Lepisosteus oculatus: one gene and its partner. The protein of the gene in region 1 purifies or fractionates together with the protein of each later gene. This does not show direct contact. Links are inferred from orthologs where the notes say so. Each region holds a gene or a part of one and is shown on either strand. Other genes may lie near its edges. The genes, in order: aplf and lig3.

Region 1 (11,700 bases):
TATTGATCTTTTAATGTGCAAAGCACCCGTATACTTCATTAAGGGTGTCAGATCTTCCCTCCTCATAATCTGAATCAACTGGCCAAGACTGAATCCTCGAGAATATATTAATTTGTATGACTGCTGCAAATTCTGTATTTTCAAGAAAAACCTTTTAAAGAAGGACTCACAGTTCAACCAGGAATATCTGTGGAAGAAAAGGAGGCAATTGAAAGCTTGCTGTTTCTTAAAATAGTTTTGCTTTGCGTTTCAGAATAAAAAGATTCCCCCCAAGCAACTTGTGTGCCATAATTTCAACCCTGAATATTAGCAACTTCCACGTACAGAGAATATTACGCCAAGATCGGATTGCTGGCAATCTGTTGATTCCCTCTTAAATCTCTTTCTGAGAAATCAAAAGTCGTTAATTTCTGTATTAGTCTGCAATTACGGGAAAACCATAGTCCAATTTGTACAAGATGGCAAAAATGTTTTTACAAGCCCCTAATTTTGAAATATCAATGCTGCTCACAGTTTTTTTTTAAAATGACATTTTCATGGGACATAAAAAAGGGAACAGCTGATGCCACATTAGGCAAAGATCCAAACACACTGCAGTACACATTCCTTTGTGGTTTTAATTAGGACCATTTTCAAGGCCATGCAAGTTATTTCTACTGTACGGACATGGACAGCCTCAGGAACCAGTAAGGCCAGAGGTCTCACTGTACAGAACTGCCTGTATCCATACCAAGACGCATGGACCCTCCCTGGAAACACACCGTCAACGAAGTCCAGAGAAACGAAAAAATGTTTAATTCATGGCCAACCCTGTGCTGTGCAGCTGGGCAATTACAAACAATGGGAGTTGCTAATACCACATTTACATGCCAGTAATCACATTTAATACCTATAAATTTGCTGGCACTCTTCAGCTTCATCATTAGTGCACTGCTTGCGTTAATCTGCGAGATTTGATTCCAACCCCCTCCCCACAACCCCTCTACTATTTCTGAAATTGTATCCATCATCTGTAATAAATTTATTTTACTAATCCCATTAGAACTCTAGCTAAATAGGTACGGTAGGATGTTTAGTGTCCAGGTTTAGTCTACATAATTATGACCTGAACTCAACATCTAGTTGGAACCTTTATTCGTCTTGTTAAGGAGCAGCACATTAACACTACTTGGTCCTTCCAGTGAGAAGAGATAAAAGCACAGGTATCCTAAGAGCGACAGACACCTCCTCAACTTCATTTCTCTGAATTGAAATATGTATAAAATTGTTCACACTCCATTTCCCAGTGTAGAAGAAATTGTTCACTCCCTTCTCTCCTTGATGTATTCCTCCGCAATAACTCTCTACACCAGCAATCATGGATAAAACACTTCAGTGAAAAGTTTTCTTTTGAAAGAAAAATATTGATGAATGCACAAATATTTTAAGATTTGATGAGCAACATCTTTTGCTCTATTTGTGAGTCTAATGGTATCTTTTGGCAAGGTACCATTAGAAATAATTGTTTTATAACACAAGATACAGTACATACAGGTAGCTCCTAAAATAAAATATAACCAACAAAAAGTGTCTTAGAGCAATGGGTCACCACAAGCCACTAGAACAGCTTCAACACACCTTGGCATAGTTTCCACAAGTGTCTACTCTAGTGGAGGAATGCAACACCATTCTTCCACGAGAAACTCCATCAATTGGTGTTTTGTTGATGGAAAACACTGTCTCAGGCACATTTCTCTCATAAATGTTCGATTTGGTGCTTGGACGGCCATGGCATGTACATCAAACCATTCAGTGACCACTCGTGCCCTGTGGATGGGAGCACTGACATCCGGGAGGATCTCACTCCCATCAGGATAAAAATGCTCCACTACAGGATGTACGTGATTACCCAGAACGGCTTTGTATTTAGTGGCATTTACCTTGCCATACAGAACCGCCAGAACCCTGCACTGTGGGAAAGAAGCACTGGTGCCACACATATACTTATCCACTTGCTGGAAACAGAGTGAAGAATGACCAGGATCTGACAGTATGACTTTCTTCCACTGCTCCATGCCAGTATCACCTTAGCTACTGATGTCCTCATAAAACATCAGCAAGATGAGCAGCCTTCCTCACCAAAGTTCCTGCTAAACATGCCACAACATTCACCCCTCTATGAAAGTCACTGAGATCTCTTCATCTAGTCACGGCAGCCTAAACAATGGGCAACTGGGCCTGCCCAGCCTTTTTATACATGACCCTAAGCATGATGGGATGTTAAATGCTTATTGAATTCAGGGTCCACACCTGCATAGAAGCACCTGCTTTCAATATACTTTGTGTCCCTCATTTACCCAAGTGTTTCCTTTATTTTGTTAGTGAACTATCTTGCATGAGATCCATAGACATCTTTATGGCATTGTGGCATCTTGCTTCAAAATCAGTCACTCTCTGCATCTTAAAGGAACCTTTTCATTTTCCAAATGTCCAACACACACTTTGGACCCTGCAAGCATAAAAGCATATTTGCTAAGCTTGGAAGATGCTTTATTGTTTTCACAATTCTTAATACACAGCAAATACACAAGACAGAAAGATCCTTAAAGATTCATTTCTTTCTGTTTACTTGACCAAGAAATCTCAAAATCTAATTTCTCTGGAGACATCTCCAGGGCTCACAGATATAAGGCAAAATCCAATGATTTGCAGACCAGTGACAAAGCAATTACCCCACTGATTATTCTCTTAGTGTTAGGAAATCACAGGAGGAAATGTAATTTATGTTTCTCCTTACAATCTAGATCAGAAGAAGGTGTGTGCGTGCCTGTTAAACCATGTGTCTACTTTATGGAATAGAATCAGTAAAAAAAAAAAGTACTCAGCATGCAAACATTTTACAGTACATCTAGATTTATACTGGTGTGGCAAAAATGAAACTTGTAGTAAACAGTGCCTATAATTTGCACCTTGAAAGGCTAAAAGCTCAGGACTCACAACAAAATAAATTATTCTTTGTAATAACTCTTTTTAAGTGACAAGGGTTCATAAATTAACATCGCCCGGTTTTAGCTCACAAAGGCAGCAGTCTGCTCCTCCATCCATAATACCATTATAGACTTGATTTTTTATAAAAGCTGATAGACTCCAAAGTAATCTGAAAATAAGAATTCAAGAAAAGCTCCCAACTTTAGTGATGTGCTTTTTGCTGACAGAAAGCCTTGTATTACAGTGCCATCTAGGAGTGCAGAGTGGGCTCAAACGCCAAAATAAAAAAGGCTTCTACATTTATATCACATTTCATTTCCTGCATTACTATATTTGAAAAGAGATCTATCTTATGGGTGTTACAGAACATTACTCAATATTACCTTAATTTATATTATCTGATAACACATGTAATCGTTTACTACATAGCTTGTACACATCAAACATTGGGTATTAACATCCCCTACCTTGGACGTTTTTCTTTAGTTTGTGTGATAAATAAAACCAGGCTTTTTGTGAAAGAAATCTGTTACTCATGCCAGCAGCTAGACTGACTTTGGAAGACTGTGTGGTCTTCCAACAGTAAAATTTCAATTTCTGTTCTCTTATTCTAGTCCCGTGTTTCTCAGACCTATAGCTGCCAAATTTCACCAATTTTTGTTTTGCATTTGCAAGATACAAACGGTTATGTGCATGTCCCTTGTATAGTATACACAGAATTTTAATTATATACTAGTGCAAAATATATTGCTGCAGGTAACAAACACAAATTAAATCAATGTGAGAGTTAGGGAAGTATATGATTTTCTGACTTTTTGCAAGGTAAATCTGCCCTTTCTATGCTTGTACTTTATTCTGCCACAGCCTACATGCTGGATGTGATTTCACTACACTTTAAAACGCTTTGCTTTGATCACAGTAAACTTTAAAGCAGCTATGCTGAGGATTTAAGTTTATGTTTGAATTGTTCGTTTTGTAAAGATGTTTTTAAAAGTCAGAAACTGGAGTGACTTTTCTTTCTGAAGAATATTGTCATATTGACTGGTATGCCATTTGAGGCTATGCTGCCCACTTGTGGTAAAGAAGAACGTTTCTGCTATTACAGACACCCACGATTAAATGTATATGTTATATACCTCATAGGATCTTAAAGTGCTTTGCTCATAAGAGGGGACCAACTTTATCCACCGATGAAGTGTAGCATCCAGCTGTTATACACGACGGTCAATATTGTGTTGATTACACGTCACAAATGTCTAAATGTTCTAAAATATCTTGCTTTTAAGCAAAATGAAATAGCTTGACTGTACCTCTTACAAGTAAAATATCTGCAGTGCTTAAGGAAATAATTGAGGTAGGTTTAAAAAACACGTACCCTGAGAAGAGGTCCTCTTCCAATTAAGGTTTCTCCAACTGGTAGCGGGATTGAACAGTTCCCGTCCAATGGTTCCAGTTCAAATCCCGACATGTCCACCTATCCTGCAGAATCAGAATTATACAATATACATTTTGACGCATTCTGCGTGTGCTTCACAAATGCAAGTCATAAACATTAAAACAACCGAATGGTCAATTACAATGTGTGACTAAACCTTGGGTTTTGGAACCTCAGTTAGAGTCCTAAGATCAAATCAGACTTCACTCGCTGGTCAATTTTTGTTACTGTGGTGTGTACATATAAGCATTCGATTCAGAAGAGAAACCTGAGCAATTACCCAACATGTAATTTAAGTCTAATTTGCCTCAATCCATTAGGTCATCAAATGTTGCACATTTATATGGCTAGGATGTCTTCAATAGTCTTCATATATATATCAAGTTCATATAATTTTTCTTCAGTACAATAAAGGTATTAAAACTTTGCTGATTAACGATACAAACAACAGTATCACTGTTTTTTGACAACCCTGTATTTGTGTAGTTGTATAGTTTTGCAGATGCTTAACAAGAAATCGAGGTACATATGCGTTATTCAGTACAATAAAGTACAAATAAGGTCCTTACGAGAAACATGCTCAAACGTGCTACTGATACCAGGCTATAGTGCCACACTTTCGTTTTAAAGGTCTGCTCTACGAGCTTAATCAATACCTGTGGTCTGATTTTTCGTTTGCCACCTGGTAGGCACTCAGATAACAGTTCAAAATCGTGTTTATTTCCGGTAATTTTACAACATAGCTCAAGTCGCATGCACCGACTATCACATAGAATTCTGGGAAATGTGGTCGTTTACACTACGATAAATTAAGGCCACTTTGAAATATACCAGGATTGAGACAACATTTTCCAGATTTCACCAAAATTGGTAAAAACCTCCATAAAAACGTAACACCTCCACATGGTGCCTTAACGAATACCTTGAAATTTTTGGACAGAGCTATTTTTATAAAGGTAAAGTTCGTATTCAAATTAAGAGACATATTTAATACTGTTAATTTATATTTAAATACAAATTTAATTTGAGTATTACAAGAATAATAAAAAACTGCTGTGCGTGCATTTCTACAAACTTCATTTCTCTAGTGACACCGTATTCTCTTCCCAAAACCCAGCGGTCGTCCTGTAAATAAACTACATTTCCCAGACACTTCCTCGACTTGCACGCATGCGTTTTTGCCATGTTGGTCAGTAGGGGTGCGTCATTGCGTAAATAAAAATTTGAAAAGGATAGGCATTTAAACTGTCAGCTGTCACATAATGACGTGAACCATAAGAAGGTATGAGTTTAAACGGTCTACAGTTAGTAATTTTAAAAAGAGATTAGTTGTATGTAGTTATGATTTTAATTTTAAAATAAGTCGTGACTTTAAAGCGTTAAAGCAGTCATTTATCTTTTAAAAACGTTCATTTTCTGATCGGTTAAAGGCGTAATCTGTTTATTTTCTAGCACTGGTAACGGCATATGGTGAGCCAGGTAATTTTTAAATCTAAAAAAGCAATTCAAAGTTAAACACACTTATGGTACCCGTACGTAAACCGCGATTATAATGTTTGCAAAATATCCATTTATATATTTATATGTTATTATATTAATAACAATGTAAACATTACTGCCTGTTTCATGACCCGGCAGAGATTATGTTCATAAACATACGTGGCAGTAAGTGTTAATTTGATTAACCCTCCCCTCCTTCACAAAAAGACGGTAATAAACGGTGATCTGCAGTAACCTTGCACTTCCCCTTGTCGTGTGATTATTGCATCTGATAGGATTTCGTCGTGTACATATATGTATATCAGCTTAGTTCTTGGCAAAATAAGGATATGAATGCAGACTTCCGCGAAGTGAACAGCTAAACATATTTCTTAATTTGCCCCAGTAGTAAATCTTCTGAGTTTTTAAATGTACCCCCCACACACACACAAATAAAATTACAGTATAACACAATTTTATATTTATTCGATGTTTTCGACAATGCTCTGTAGTACTGTTATTCAAGGTCCTTTTAGTTTTGTCCATTGTGGGTTTGCACAGCACGTTTTACTGAGGATGATTAACGGTGGGATTTAGAAAAACGATTTAAACAACTAACCCCACTAAAATATTGCGAACACTATTTTTTATGAAATGTAATTTTATCAATAGGCGTTATTAATTACAGAACACCTTACGTGTGTAAAAGGGGTAGGAACTCTCACAAAGTAGGCTTTTGTTCTAATATTGCAGTTTGTTCTGATAGTGGGATTAACCACTACGTTAGGAAAGAGTAGTTCAAGTAAGTAGGTTCTTCACACCAGAAGAAGGCTCCACAGCCGAAATATTGTGTTTATTTTCTTCTCTTTTCAGCCTGGAATAAACCTTTACTTGTTCATTGTAGAAAAGGTTTGTGAAAATTCAATAGAATTGTGGGAATTACCATTTCTTACCATGATGTCTTGCTTCATCTAACCTGGTCTTTAAAACCAAATGGGTTTATATTTACTAATTCAATGATTTTTGAGACACAATGGTCTATGAAGCCAAAAAAGCATTAAATCACAAAGATTTTTTAAGAGAAGCCTGGAGGAGTTTTTTTCTGTTGATCTTTTTGTTAATTAAATAATTGAAGTATGTGTTATGTCTTTGTGTTATACATATATATATATTATGATATATAGTTCAGGTGGGTAGCTGCGTCAGCATGCGTAGGCTGCAAAGGAACAAGTAATAGGTTTATTCCATGCTGAAAAAAAGAAGAAAGAGAACACAACGTTTCGGCCGTGGAGCCTTCTTCAGGTGTGAGAGAAATTTTGGAAGCAGAGCTGGCCCTGTCTCTCTCACACCTGAAGAAGGCTCCACGTCCGAAACGTTGTGTTCTCTTTCTTCTTTTTTTCAGCATGGAATAAACCTATTACTTGTTCCTTATTATGATATATATATACTTAATCAGGATACTTTCTTAATTTATAAAGACTTTCATGAAGATCTAATTAAGTTTTAGATCTAAAATATGCACAGATATGGACAAACCTACAGGGTTCACAAACCTTTTCTTACATTATACCAATACTAGTATATGTTCAGATCTGAAAATGAGCCGTTTTGAAGAGCGTTGTTTTGCTTTCAGGACAGCCATTCTGTCATTCCTAGAGGCGAGAACTTCAAACTATGCAGTATGTTTCTAAAAGAAACAGAAATACCTCTACTTTCTCAGAAGGAAGCTGCAGTCTGATCTCAAGAGAAGGCCAAGGATACAACTTTGCTGACATATTACCTCCAGAAATAAGTCTGGAGATTTTCAGCAAGCTGGACGTTAAAAGCTTATGCAGTGCTGCTGTGACGTGTAAACTCTGGAACAACATCATTGAAAACAGTGACCACCTGTGGAGGAATCACTGCCTGACAGTCAGAGCTATCTGTCAGAGAGAGGTGGATGAGGACAGAGGGGATGGGTTTTCTTGGAAGGTCAGTATTTTTATTTTTATTATATTATATTCATAACAATTTCATGCAAAAGTTTATCAGCGTGTAGTTTTCAATTAATTTGAAAGATTTTAGCTTTTCAGTCCTTTAAAAGATTTAGTGCGACAGTGTTGTACTTTTATCTGATGATCGTAAGTAGTAAATCACTATACATCTTGTATTATTTATTTGCTTCATATTCTTGGTCAAATGTTTCAGCAGGCATTGTTTTCAGTGCATTGTAGAATCAGTGGAAGACTACATCAGTATTATTGAACATTATATAATTCCAGTCCTCACAAATTCACACCATCATGGGTAAACTGCACACTATATAAAGTAAGTTTGTTCCACTCAGTCTTATTAATTTAGACAGGGTAATGAGGTTAATATTATGTAGGGATTTGGCTAGTGTATTTTACAGAGTCACAGTAATTGTTTAGTGCAAGAAAGGTAATATTTTTGTTTGTGTCTGTTTTTGTTCATTTTCTAGGTCACATTAGTTAGAAACTACTGGAAAGGCTGTGTGAAAAGAGAATGGCTCAATGGCAGATACAGCAACATTCGCTCTTCTCATGAACTTCCGAATAAGAGCATGTACCCTTTAGATGCAGAAACCTGGGGGAAAATTTTGGAAGCTGAGCTGGAAAGATAGTGGGTGGCTGCAGATGTACAGTATGTGTGGAGCACTTCTGAAAAGGGGATTTTGAACCTCCTTTTTCACATTTACTGTACCTTTTGTAAATAATTTATTTTTAATACCTTCAGTGTAATTTTATCTTTTTTATTGAAAACGTATCAGACATAGGATTTATAAATTCAGTAAATCCTATTTTGTTTTGTCCATGTTCTGCATGCTCAGAATATGTGGAGAAAAAAGTAATTAATCTGTGCTTTAATTCCCTGTTTAATCAGTCCCTGATTTTGTTGTAAATAAACACTCATCATGGGAAACAGATCTGTGCAAGTTCTAGTTTAATGTCAACATGCCATATAACAGACACAAATTCAGCACCTATTCACAAGCCAGTGTGAAAATATTGGAGACTTCAAAAAATATTTAGGCCTCATCACAAAGGTTTTTCAAAAGGCTTTTTTTATCAATAAGTTTTATTGTTGATTCTTCTTTATATTAACTACTACTTTATGCATTTCTTGAAGAATGTTTATTATATATTAGAGCTTGATCATTTTTCTATTCATGTAAATACAGTGGAATTTGCAAATTTATATATACATGTACAATATATATAAAAATGTTGTAAGACAGTGTAATGGGTTTTAAAGAAGGAAAATTGCAATTTCTCACTGGCTCTAGTAGTTCTAAAACAGTACACAATCTACAATATCTGTTGTTTGCAACACTTAAAGCTATCAGCAGGGGGAGATAGCACAAACGCACACAACATTAGAGGCTACAAAACTAATTAATGAAACATTTCTATAAAGATTAGAAAACGCATTGTGAAAGTGAACAGGTTTTTCAGTTATCGTTTTAGAACAAATGTATTGTTTAAGGTGCTATATTTGTTAGTGTACTGAGTGTACTATTGTGGACAGTTTGGGACCTAACACCAGTACTTAATGTATAAAGCTGTATATTATATGTATGAGAATTCTTTAGTGTTAGATTTTTAGTCCTTTAAAAGATTTAGTGAGACAGTGTTGTACTTTTATCTGATGATCGTAAGTAGTAAATCACTATACATCTTGTATTATTTATGTGCTTCATATTCTTGGTCAAATGTTTCAGCAGGCCATGCTGTAATAGACCATAATTTATCCTGTCAGACAGAAATGTGCTGAAAAGAAAAAAAAACTCCCAGACATTTACTAAATAACCAGAAAAACAGTATAAAATTGCTAGAATTGCCATACTTTAATCCACCATAAAACATTTTACATGCATTTTGCACCAAAACCTATGTAAAGAGTATATGGTATGTTTTATCTATGTATGGGCATGGAAACTGTTTTAGCAATGAGCCATTTATATTACATTGTGTGGGAAAAGAGAGATTTTAAAAAGGACAAAAGCATTTTTAGCTTGGATGTGTATATACATTTATTTAGTGCTATGTATATTATAATTATAATTATTCTATTTATTATTTAGTGCTATTGTGTGAATTAGTAACTTTCTGAAATTAGTCAACCATGGTAGCAGTTTAAAATTACTTATGCCTTATGATAAAGGATGGATACAAGCAGAATGACACATTCTGTCAGAACTGCACTGCCCACAATATCCGCTGCTAACATGGTTAATTGGCTGCCTGTCTTAGATAAAATGCCTGCCTTTTACTGCATATGTGCATTGTTTAAAAAAAGTCCTGAGAGATTATCACAAACTTAAAATGACAACCTTTCACTAAGAGGCAAGATGAGTTGTGTTAGTTCAGTAACAGGAACCTGCTGCATCAAATAGATTTCTCTGAGAAGTTTCCTGGGTCTGAATTAAAAATATTGAATACAACTGAACGGGCTCCTACTATGATATACAGTAATACCATGTTATAGCCATTATTAAAAACACTTAACAGTTTAATGTACTTTTCTATTGTTTTTCCAGAGGTGTATTTGTAAATATTGTATGTTGCATTGTTTTTGGTTTTCCTTTGTCTTAGTTATATCAATATGAAGGTGTCTACAGCTCTTCAGAGCTCAGTGGAGATATAGACATTTGATGTGTAAGCATTAGATCACACACAGTACAAAAGCAGCTTTTCAACATTAAATACATTCAATTGTGTGTTAGCAAACACAACATGTAAAAGCATCTAAATTATAACAAAGACAGCTGTGTTCTTTTACTTCAGTAGTTTCCATTGCCTGTGTGATCCCAGCATTATTTGCAGTCTTTGTGTGTGTGTGTTTTTTGGGTAGGCCTTTTAATTTTATTTTCTTGCACTGCATGTTATTTTAATACCTTATTATTTAATATTACTTAGAGCACTGTGAATCAACAATCAGAAAGGATGCATATACAAAACCTTCAAACTTGGTAATTAGATTGAGTAATTTACTAGTCTGGTAAGGAACCATTTTCATTTTTAACTTTAATCTAGCATAGATGTATCTATGTATCTATAATTATATACCAAATCAGTGGTAATCTACACTGCACTACACTGTAGTGTTGTTTTTTCTTTTCATTTTCATGTTGCCTTGTGCAATACTAACCCAGCTGGGCTTTAAATATGTACTGGTAATGGGTGTATTGAGGTTATGTACAGTACACACCCAATTTTTCAGTTCCTCTGAATCCCATGTATCTTATTTTATTTCTTTTGTACTTATAATAGGGTGAAGACATACAATGTGAAAGCATAAACATATTTTATGTTATTTTAATAATCAGAAAGAATAGGGAATCACTCTTTGTTGGTAAGACGAGCTTACTGGGTATTGCAAACTCTGATAATACAGAACATCTATTTTTTCCTGCTATTATAGTTAGATATATATTGTCTGCTAAGATCTGTGCGTAGCATTTTAATAGATTATCTTAAATGTCAAAAGACAAAACTGCAAAAGTCCTAAAACAAGCTTTTAAAAACAGTTTTCTTTTCCCCAAAAAAAATAACATTTAGTTTCATTCTGCAATATAAATATCTGAAAAAAAGAGGAAGAGTTTTTTTGTGTTCGCAGAATTATTATAATGTCTTTGAATGTCAGTAAAACTCAGCATTTCCCAACACAATCTTCAGATTAGACAGAGGAAGTATACTGAAAGACTGGGGGAATAGGGAACAAATGATTTTCAATCCAAACTAAAACCCTTGATTTTTAGTTTGTCTTGTGGGCACAGTGTATTTTAAATACAATTACGGCTGATAGTTGAGATGAAA
Region 2 (10,809 bases), on another chromosome or scaffold:
TCCCAGTCTCTTCATGCTGGCTTTGTTTTCATGTCCCGTGTTGCTTTTGTAAGAAGGCCGTGCTGTGCAGAACAGGCCTGAGCGATCGCCAAGGCCAGATGGCATCTTTGCATGAGCAAAAGTTTGAGGAAACCCAGCAGAACCAATGGCTGCCGAAATGTGATACCAACAGAAAAACCCTTCGGAATTCCGTGCAAATAAAAGAAATATTCCAGCTGCATATTCCAGCTAAGGGCATTTTGTTTTGAAATATCGTACTGTAGCTTGTTGTTAAATTGTACATCTTCTGAGTCTGAGGTTTGAAAGGAAACATCGAAATGTCAAAGTACTACTAGGGAAAGACAAGGAAGCACAGCAGTAAGTTACCAGTGACAGAGGATTTGTGAGAAATCTATACAGTATATACTGTACAGTATGTGTTTTATGCCTGTATATTATAATTAACAATGCTTAATGATGTGTAACACTGTTGTTGTTTCATTAAAGTACCGATTCATTTTATGCAACTCATTTCACATTTGATAATTTCCTTTCTGTACTTAAATTTAGTTTCAGTGCATGACTTGCAGAAAACAAAGTCATGCTTTGAAAAATCTTGACAGTTCTGTTTAGTTCTGCACAGATGTCGCCTCCTTTCCAGCTGTGATGAATTCATGCTGGTTACTGTATGTCCATTTGGAAATGTCACATCCTGCTTAATTTGACCCTGAAGGAGTGTTTGCTGAATGTGTACCACCAAAACCTGAAAGCCGATGGGCCAAAATGGATTTTGAAGCTTGTGTTACATTCCTGGGGTGGCATTATGACTTGTTGAACAGTTAAGGGACATTTCTCCTCTAAAGTAAACATAACTTAAAAGGGCATAGCAGAGGACTGTACATATTAACAAATAACAAAAAGTATTTATCAATCCTTAGGCCACAGACTATATAATATAGACATATAAAATTGATTAGTATCCTAAATGTTAAAGACATAAATTTACAAGACAGGTAACCTAACACATACAGAGTGGCACCCCACACAGAACCCCAATAAATCATGAGGTACATGGCAGGACAGCACCCCAATCATGGCGCCCGTACCCCGTGGGGCACGCCGAAGAACAATGCCCTAGGCAGGGTGCCATGGGGGATAGTGAACGTTGCAGTGAAAAAAAATTGTTGAAAACAAGAATAACCTTCCAAAAAGGAATGGGAAAAAGGTTCTCCATCACCTGATGGAGGGGAAAGTTTATAAGTATATAACAGCAATATTAATACTGTGATTTAATGCATTTTGTCTTGTTAGGTGACCATTTTCCTAGGTTTTACATTTGGCTGGCTTTGAAAACCTTTGCAGGCTGCACTTTCAAGACCTGCCTGCCTCAGCCCGGCCCCAGAGCAGCAGTAAATTCTGCAAGACAGCGAAGAAAGTGAGGAGATTGCTTGTTGCCACAGCGGCTCATCACAGAGTTAATCAGCAGGACGGAGTCTCGGGGGGGCTCTGTGGATGCCAGGTGTGCTAAATTGGAAATCAAACGATTTAAATACAACCTTGTGGCGCCAGAGCTTCATTCCAATTTTCAGACGCTGGTTTTTGGAAAGCCTCCACCAGATTCTTCACTGAGTCACTGCTGTTGATCAATGGCGGGAGAGAAAAAAAGAGACAGAGGCAGCACAAAAAATTTCAGATTAAATGCCTTGACATTTTGGTGGGCGGCAATTGAGGGCAATAACAATGATGCAATATTTATTTCTGTCAGCTGAAAACAGAGATATGTGCATCCGCCTTACGGCCAAATGAATTAGGAAAGCCAACATGTTCATTATTCAGAGACTTACCAGGTGAGTGTAATGTTCCAATGAGTATTATTTATTAATACACTCCAGGAGAGTGGCTCTCTAGGAAATTTAATTTTTCTTATCTTAAAAATTAGAAAAAAAATATATTTGCAGATAAAGAGAATTGTTGTTTGGGGCAACAGGATTGGCTCACTAAACAACATTGTTCACTGTAGCTTTCAAACATTTTGAATTAAAATGGACTTAAAGGGACTAAAGACCACTTTTCATAAGTCTGTTTTTTCTCTAGTAGTGAACTTGTGTGACAAAACCAGTCACTACAGCACTGTGAATTAATATATTAATATATTTTGCCTAAGTGTGTGTCTATTGAATAATCAAATGAAGTCTGTAAACCTGCACAACTCAAAGATTTGTATTTGAACAGCAACCCCCAAAACTATTTTTAAAGCAAGGGGATGTTCTGTAGGGCTGCTGCAGATCATAACTGACATATTTTCTTTTTATCATAAGTGTTTGCTTCTCCTCCTGCTTTCTGTTGCTCTATTTGTTGAAATGAAGGGCTCACACCAAGGTCTTTGAGTAGAATTCTTAATGGTACTGGAGAGACAGATTCTATTTTTACTCTAGGCCTTATCAGCAGAGCTGGTCATTAAATTAATTAGTCATTTACATAGCAACCCTGTCACTTGCTCAATTATTACATCTGTCTTCATCTGACTTGAGATGACATTTGGAGAATGGATCATTAAAATGAATTACTTACTGTACATAGCCACCCATTGTGTGTGGGGAGAACAGGGTTAGGATTAGAGCCATCAAAGATAGTTAGGACAATTGTCCAGGGCTGCAAGCTACAAAGAGCACAGAATATGAGAAAAAGAATACTGTACATGTACAAATGTAATAGAACTGGCGCACTACTGCAGCTGTTCATAACCTTTAAAAGTCATACTGAAAATTCTCTCTCTTCTTTCATCTACAGGGCCACACAGCATATCCTGTAGTATAAGGTGAAGCTCATTACTAAACCATCTATCCATGTTCGAACCACAGTACAATACAGGGCCATGAGGGAGACAGAACCAGACCTGACAAGCAACAGGCACAAGATGAGATACACCCTGGGTGGTCTGCCAGTCCATTGCAGGGGACACACACACACAGACACAAACACTCACACTCACACCAAGGCCAATTTCATAGAAGCCAATTAACTTCCAAATACACCATTGGACAGCAGGAGGAAACCCACACAAACACACGACTACTGCTTTTTCTTACGTCTCCTGGGAGCAGAAGCACCTAGAACATACAGTGTTTACTAACAGAGAAAGAAGCTGAAACAACTCTCCCAGCACTGCAAGTTTTCTGTACCTTTGAACAATTAGTTCAGCTTGTATTTTATGAGTGCAAAGAAGCACTGAAAGTGATCAGTGATGTAGATGAAGTGGTATTTTAACCTCTTTAATTAATGCTGCAAAATAAAACAAAGAACTTTACGAGCAAAGAAAAGAATATTGCTCTTGTGCCTGGGAAAGTGATCTGTGTCCTGGGCACTTTGACAGATTTCCAAATCAAATCTGGCTTCAATTTGCCGTGTGAGGGCTTTTGGAGTCACGTTTCTTCAAGTAATGGGGCTCAAACAACTGCAAGACTTCATTTTCTTGTGTTTAACTGTTAATCGTGGAGCAGCAACCATTGAATGCCAGGTTACTTAATTAAGTTTCCCCACCTCGTGGGACCACTACCTCATTGGCAGGCTCTCTAATTGAGTTTGGAAATGTATCACAGTCTTTTCACTTCCTTCAAAGAGAGGAGAGTGAAAGTGAGACATGGTCAAAATCAATTCGCCTTTTGTGTCTTCGGTAAACTTATTTCTGGAATTTTTCCTTGAAGGAGTTACTTGTAAACGTGAGAAAAATATGAATCTAGTCAAGTCAAGTTCAGGTACTTCAGGTAGGTGACTGAAAAAAAAGTGTTCCTCTGAGATGCATCCTGTTACAGTGGTTGTGATATCTGTTAGCCACTCACATCTTGAAAGTTCACATCTCAGAAAAACGTTTGCAGTTCTCTGCAAATGGATTAATTGCTCTTTCACCAGGACTGTGCCAGAGAATAAACAAAGCATGTGCCAAAACTCATGTGCCACAACTGCGTACTCCTTGTGTTAATGTATTTTATTTTAATTATTTTATTGCCCACTTTCTATTATCTATACCCCCTATCTGTAACAATAGCAAAATTATGACGTTTTTTTTTTCAGTTTCTGCACATAAATATATCATTTAAAAGGTTCCTTCCCACATCATAAGAAAGCCACTTATTCCTGGTAATGCCCAGAGTCTTTTCTGCAAGTATAGGGCACTTGCCCGGAGACACTCATTCATACACAGATAAATCAAAGACATAAATGAATCTCTAGGAGGTGGGAGGAAACCAGGGAGCTCAGAAAAAAACCTTTTTGAAAACGTCTCCCTCTAAACCAAAATTTAATTGCTTGTCTATGTGAAGCGAGACAGGCTATCAGTGACCTGATTGATCTTCTACTTTAATCTGACCTGACATAAAGATACAGTAGATAGGATGAAGAAAGGAGTTATCCCGATGGCAAGCTATTGCGTATCTCCAAAAAATAATAAATTCAATTAGACTAGCATTTGAATTGTTAAATCCCCATATATCAACTGATGCACATGCTATCATCTGTGAATTGAGCCCTTTGTCATTACATTTCCTGAGCGACTGTTGAAGAATTGTGGCAGGTGGCAGCAAAACTCCTTGCTGAACACCAGAGGGCGTGCAGTGCACTAGAAAAGGCCTTGTTGTTCCAAACTCAAATAAGACCTAATAACTTGCTTATGTTCAGTCCCCCCACAAGTAATTTCCAGAAAACAGACTGCAGCTTTAGGTGTTAATTGTTACCTGTAACCCTGGATTTTTTTCTCTCTGTGTAGCATATGAATACATACCATGGCCTGGTGTGTTACGTATAGTAACATTCTCTGCTTCTTGAGATGAGGAATGACAGGTAACGAACCTGGCTTAGCTTTTCTACAAGGACTTCGGTGATAAATCCTCACTTTCTGATATTTCCCTCATTGCAATGTAACAGAAGCAGATATACTGTTGCCAAATGAAAGCACTGACATTTAATACTGTTAGGAAACAATAAAAGTTTTTATATCTGATCTGTAACTTAAGAGTCCATGGTGCAGAAAAAAAGCCCCATAACAGAAGTCTTCCTGGGGCAAAATAAATCGAGGGCTTCTGTATAAAGGAGTGGGGAAGATAATGCCCTCAGTCAGGATTTCAGATGGATGGATATCGGAGGTATCGTCTGACTGGCTTCTTGAAGCTTGGTTTCTTTTTCTACGTTTAGGGCACATGCTTTCTTCAATGTGGGCTTAGCCAGTTCTTCAGTCTCTTGGGTCCAATCACATTGGAAAAGGCAATAGACAGTCACTGTTTGGTTGTGTGATGGTGGGGTGCATGTAGAAAAGAAATACAATGCCAGTTTCTTTTTTGGATCATGAAGAAGCGTGCTTTTGTGGAGTCTTATGACAAAACAGATCTCCAGTGAAAGAGCGATGCTTCCATCTAGAGGACAAGGCGAATATTGAAACCTCACCGCCGACCAAACCTGAAAAAAGGCTTTCATAAAAAAACAAGTCTCAGACCTTTACACAGATATCTGGGAGGATCTGGAGTAAACTGCTTAAACACATTGCGGCTAGCTTCTTTCAAAAAAAGCCTGAATGATCCTTTGATCAATGACCTACCCGTAATCACATGAGCTAGCCTAGATAAATAGCCCCATTTCGATTATAAACCTTCTTATGTTATATTCGCTGTATGCTGTAACTATGGCAGTCATAATTACAGCAGCTTTGCGACAGTGTAGTAATAATTAAAGAAACAAAACTTATAGTTCACTGTTTAATAGCTTTACAGTTATTTTTAAAGATATACCCCGGCACGGCTTACACCTGAATTTCTGTCGGCATAAAACTTTTAACTGTCGCACATGCGCACTGTGGGATATGACAGGAAACAAAAGGGGAACGTGGCTGGTGTTTAAAGGGGAAACCTCACATTGAAAATAACACACTACAGTGGAGAAAATGATAAGTACAAAAATAGCACAAACACATCTGTAACAAACGAATAACACCGGTAAGCATGGTCTTAAGCATTTTTATTGTAAAGTGCATTTTACATAAGGTTCCTGATTTTTTCCGTGGCGTTGGGAAATTAAAATGTCTGTTTTAGCTGTGGTCGAGCACGGCACAGTGGATTCTAAAAGCGAAAGACATTTTACTGGGAACTTGTGCGTTACAGCAAACAGCAAACTCGAAGTGGTGGGAAATTAAGGCCATCTATAATCTATCTGCTCTTTAGTTAAGCCATTTTTGTGTTTTCACACAATACTAAAATCGGTCAAGTTGAAGAAAGTGTGCTTTGCACTACGAATTTTATTTTTTAATTTAAAAGCCGAATAGAGTGGACAAAAATGTTGATGACATAACTATTTCAGCTTGAAACCACGTAAAGTGTTTATGATTATCAGCCATGAAGGGTGATAATCTTAGAATATCTTCATTTGCCTGGTACAGTATAATATCATAATTTAAGACTATCCTGCATGGTGCAACATTGTAGTCATACAGAGATTAAGGAAACAGGCTGCCTTCTGTTAGAATGTTGCTTAATGAGAAAAAAAAACATCTGTTCTCGCGGAACCGATTTCTTTTGGCACAAGATATTTTGTAGAATAGCAGCTGCATTTAAGGGGACTTTGCCGAGTTTTTTTTTAATCAACTGCACCCAATTCACAACTTCGGTCAAAAAGCCCAGGCTCACGCTGAAACTAAACTCATGAAGGAAAAGCGTTGTTTTCTGGGCACTTTTCTTGATAAAGACAGAAAAAAAACTAGTAATCGAATCCGCTATGGCGCGACCTGGAAAAAGCTCCAGGAGAAGTTCTCCATTGCTCACTTTTCTGTGAAAGGCGTTTATCGACTCATCTTCGTCTGTCTGCTGATTCTCCATGCTTTCTTCCCCCTCAGGTGTTAAAGTGATGAGCTAGGTATGCTTCATGCTTAAACTCTGCACCCACCAAACAAGCAGAGCACTTTTCAGCACACTGCTGCTCAAACTCTTCCAGAATCAGGCTTCTGCCAGCGAATCCGTTCAGTCCTTCAACTTCCACCGGAGTGCCACGTGTGCGGCCTATAGCTCCCGGTCCCAGGCCTTCCTCGGCAAGCCTTGGCACGCCTGTGCCCGGACCCCAGCGTCTCGAGCTTTCCACCTGTCCTGGTCCCCGTGTGGCGGCGGCGGCGAGCGCGAGGCCATGCCCGAGCAACGGTACTGCGTGGAGTACGCCAAGCGCGGCACAGCCGGCTGCAAGAAGTGCAAGGAGAAGATCGTCAAGGGGCTGGTGCGCATCGGCAAGATCGTGCCCAACCCCTTCAGCGAGTCCGCGGGCGACATGAAGGAGTGGTACCACGTCAAGTGCATGTTCGAGAAGCTGGAGCGCGCCCGGATCACCACCCGGAGGATCGAGGACATAACGGACCTGGAGGGCTGGGAGGAGGTGCAGGATGAGGATAAGGAGCTCATCAACAAGCACATTGCAGGTGGAGGGGGGGGGGGGGGTGCTTCTGTTTCAGTTAGTCAATGTGGGAATGGGAGTTCTGAATCCATGACACTGGCTCCCCAGTCCTGCTGGTCCTGATTCTGGACCGCGGGTTGCCCAAGTCTCTTCAGAGCCGTGATTCCCAATGCTGGCCCTGGAGAAACACTGTCTCGTCTGTTTTCCTTCTTGTAGTTGAGTTATTAAGCACCGGCTAATTGATTTCAGTTTTCTAATGGTTCGTGTTAGAAACATTTCCTCTCAGCTCTTAGAAGGACCAATGGGATTTACAATTGGTATTGGCCTGGAATGTAACCAATTGGACATCTGCAAAATCTTAATTTATGTGTGTCTGATACAGTGCCACTCCCACCTGTGGGTGTGTCTGATACAGTGCCACTCCTACCTAAGTCTGTTCATTGCCGGGTGATGAATTTGTAAGAGCTGTTTACTCTAAGATAAAGGAAAGGTTATGTGTGTAAGTTCTATATGATGATACAGTACCCTTGACACTCAGGACTGACCTAAACAAGTAAAAACAAGCAAGAATAAGTCAGCATTTAACATTTGAGAGCTCAGCTGGACTGACATATAGGATCATATAGTGTTCCTCCAGGACCAAGACTGGGAACCACAGCCTTAGAGCAGCAGCTGAAGAGCCAGGAGAAGATGCTAAACTGGTCTAATAAAGACAAGAATCTTCTGATTTAGGTTATTATGAGCTCAGCTGTAGTGAAAACCTATAGACACACCGACCCTTCAGGACCAAGATTGGGAACCAGTGTGCTTTTATATGACTGAAAAAGAAAAAAAGTTGGGAACCATTAATTCTTGAGATGGATAATGCTTAAGAAGACAGCAGGCAAAACACTTATTCATGAATCATTCTCACAGATTTTACCATGAGAATGTTTATTAAAATTAATCTGGAAACATATCTTTCTGTTATGTATTGTCCACTTATTCTTTAGGAATTTTGAAATTGGGATTTATTGTAACTCTTATGTTGCTATGCGTAATTAAAAATGTATTTCTTAAAGGGGCAGGGTACAAACTAACAGGACACTGTTTTTTGTGTGTGGTTGCTTGGCTAGATCTGGCTGCGAAGACTAACCACAGCCCTAAGAAGAAGGTTCAGACTGGCCTGGCTGACCTGTCCCCTGTGACGCCACGCAAGTTCTCTGGATTCACTGGTAAGAAGGTGCTGCCATTGTCACAGTTTGCTCTTTCCTGTCCTGTACTGTAGCCAACTGAAAGCCACGAGCAGCAGGAAGAAATAGTCAAAGTTTCTCCAATCTGCCTAAGTCAACCTTTTTTAGAGCACAGTTTTAATCAGTTGATGTGTAAACTGAAGTAAAGAGAACAGGCAAAATGATCCACTAAAAGATCACGTGACATCGCGGGAGTATTTCCAGTTAATAAAAATGGGGATGAGTGCGATGGACTGGCGTCCTGTCCAGGGTGTATCCTGCCTTGCGTCTATTGCCTTCTGGGATTGGCTCCAGCTACCCCATGGCCTTGGATGGTATTGGATAGGATGGTTAGAAACTGGATAACTGGTCATTTCTTCTGCGCCCATGGGTAACCCTGTCGATTGTGACTGACAGCCGCCAAGCCTGGCACCTCCAGCTCTCCCGGGGGCTCCAGCAGCCTGTCGGCCCAGCTGTCTGACCCCAGCCACAAGGACTGCCTGTTGCGGGAGTTCCGCAAGCTGTGCGCCATGGTGGCGGAGAAGGCCAGTTACAACGTCAAGACGCAGATAATCCAGGACTTCCTGAAGAAGGGCTCCAGTGGGGGTGAGTGCCCGCCCGTGAACAAAGGGTCAGTTAATACAGGCTAATGTTGCATTCGGCAGCTCACGTCAGCAAAGTCTCAGGCTGATCGTAGGTAAAAATTGTCGTGCCTTTGTCTTCCGCATGAAGGAGAACTCATTTAAAATAATTCAGGTGGGTAGCTGCGTTGGCATGTGTACGCTGTGAAGGAACAAGTTATAGGTTTATTCCATGCTGAAAAGAGAAGAAAACACATCGTTTCGGCCGTGGAGCCTTCTTCAGGTGGGTTCTTCAGGTATGACACCTGAAGAGGGCTCCACAGCCGAAACGTTGTTCATTTAAAATAATTCAGCTTGTGACCATTTGAAAATCATCGCCAGCCGTAAACGTTTTTACAGTTTTCTGTTGCTTGCAGGCTATATGCAAAACACGTAACACTCTGAAGCTCAAAGTGATAAAATCACACACAGTTTGATTTTAACCATTGTGCATTGACGCTTAGAAATCGAGGGTTTTACTTTATCTTATTAAAACAGCAATTCGCTGTTTCAGAACACCATTGATGCTTTGAGTCGAAAAGAAAGGCCTGTGGTTTTATTGAGTTGCTCAGTGTTTATGCAGTTTTTAAGTGTAGAATACAGAATTTTCATCCTTAATTTATGCAGAACAGTGAACAGACCCCTTCCGTTTTTGAATCCAGGTGACGGCAGGCCTGGGCACAGTTGTTCATACTCCGAGACCCCACCCCTGGAAAAGGCGGCTGCCCCAGTATTAACCCCCTTGTATCTGTGTTCCCGCCCCCCGGCTCGTTGCAGACGGTTTCCGCGGAGACCTGTACCTGACCGTGAAGCTGCTGCTCCCGGGGGTGATCAAGAGCGTGTACAACCTGAACGACAAGCAGATCGTCAAGCTGTTCAGCCGCATCTTCAACAGCAGCCAGGACGACATGGTGCGGGACCTCGAGCAGGTCAGGCCCTCCTCCTCCTCCTCGTGTCTCCGCCACTCCGCCTGCACGCTGATCTCGGCAGCAGGCCCTGGATTGGGAGGCACTGGCGAAAATATTTTATCAGGAAAAACGGGAAGATTTGTGCTCTGTGTCGAGCAGTTGTTTTCGAAACAAGATACGGGGCTTGCTGATCTTCCACAGAACTAGATCCTGGGTAAACGGAATAGAAGGGGGGAGGATTTATTCTGCTGTGGAAAAGATTTTCAGTGAGTTTTGCAAATGCTTCACCAAATTCAGCACAGACCTTTTGTATTGCGGTACAGTTTCTGATATGTATTAGCGTTATATACTATTTTTCGCTTCTAACATGAGATACAAACTGAGAAAAAAGTCATTTGTGCTGTACAGTATTTCTGCTCCAGCCTTTCTTAGTATGCGCTTGAAATGCAGTCTTAATTTGTTACATTTTGGTGTATTAATTTCTATGTCAGATGAAGCATTCATGTTATTTCAGTGTTAACACATTTTAAATAAAATATGTAGAGGAAAACTGAAGGATGATTAGTTTCTAAGAGCATTATGCTTTGAAGTATGTAGCCTGATGTAGCCAGCATTTTCAAACTTAATCTGTATTTTCCCAACATGCATTATAATACTTCTCAAACCTGTTAG

The links.
Region 2: the proteins of aplf (region 1) and lig3 purify together in Homo sapiens (affinity purification with mass spectrometry; 3 studies listed by BioGRID and IntAct, counting the BioPlex papers as one, with this or other methods). This does not show direct contact. The link is inferred for Lepisosteus oculatus from reciprocal best matches to the Homo sapiens genes APLF and LIG3.

Annotation. Positions count from the first base shown.
Region 1 is NC_090712.1:8,479,774-8,491,473, forward strand, and holds the start of aplf (aprataxin and PNK-like factor), read right to left. Parts: upstream 5,130-11,700; 5' UTR 5,059-5,129; intron 5,055-5,058; exon of another isoform or gene 4,972-5,054; intron 4,447-4,971; 5' UTR 4,436-4,446; coding exon 4,343-4,435; intron 1-4,342. Other genes in the region: fbxo48 (F-box only protein 48), read left to right, coding at 7,556-7,852, 8,343-8,504. UniProt on the Homo sapiens protein: Histone chaperone involved in single-strand and double-strand DNA break repair.
Region 2 is NC_090721.1:1,739,572-1,750,380, reverse strand, and holds the start of lig3 (DNA ligase 3), read left to right. Parts: upstream 1-5,842; 5' UTR 5,843-5,960; intron 5,961-6,853; 5' UTR 6,854-6,882; coding exon 6,883-7,423; intron 7,424-8,513; coding exon 8,514-8,612; intron 8,613-9,026; coding exon 9,027-9,215; intron 9,216-10,006; coding exon 10,007-10,158; intron 10,159-10,809. UniProt on the Homo sapiens protein: Isoform 3 functions as a heterodimer with DNA-repair protein XRCC1 in the nucleus and can correct defective DNA strand-break repair and sister chromatid exchange following treatment with ionizing radiation and alkylating agents.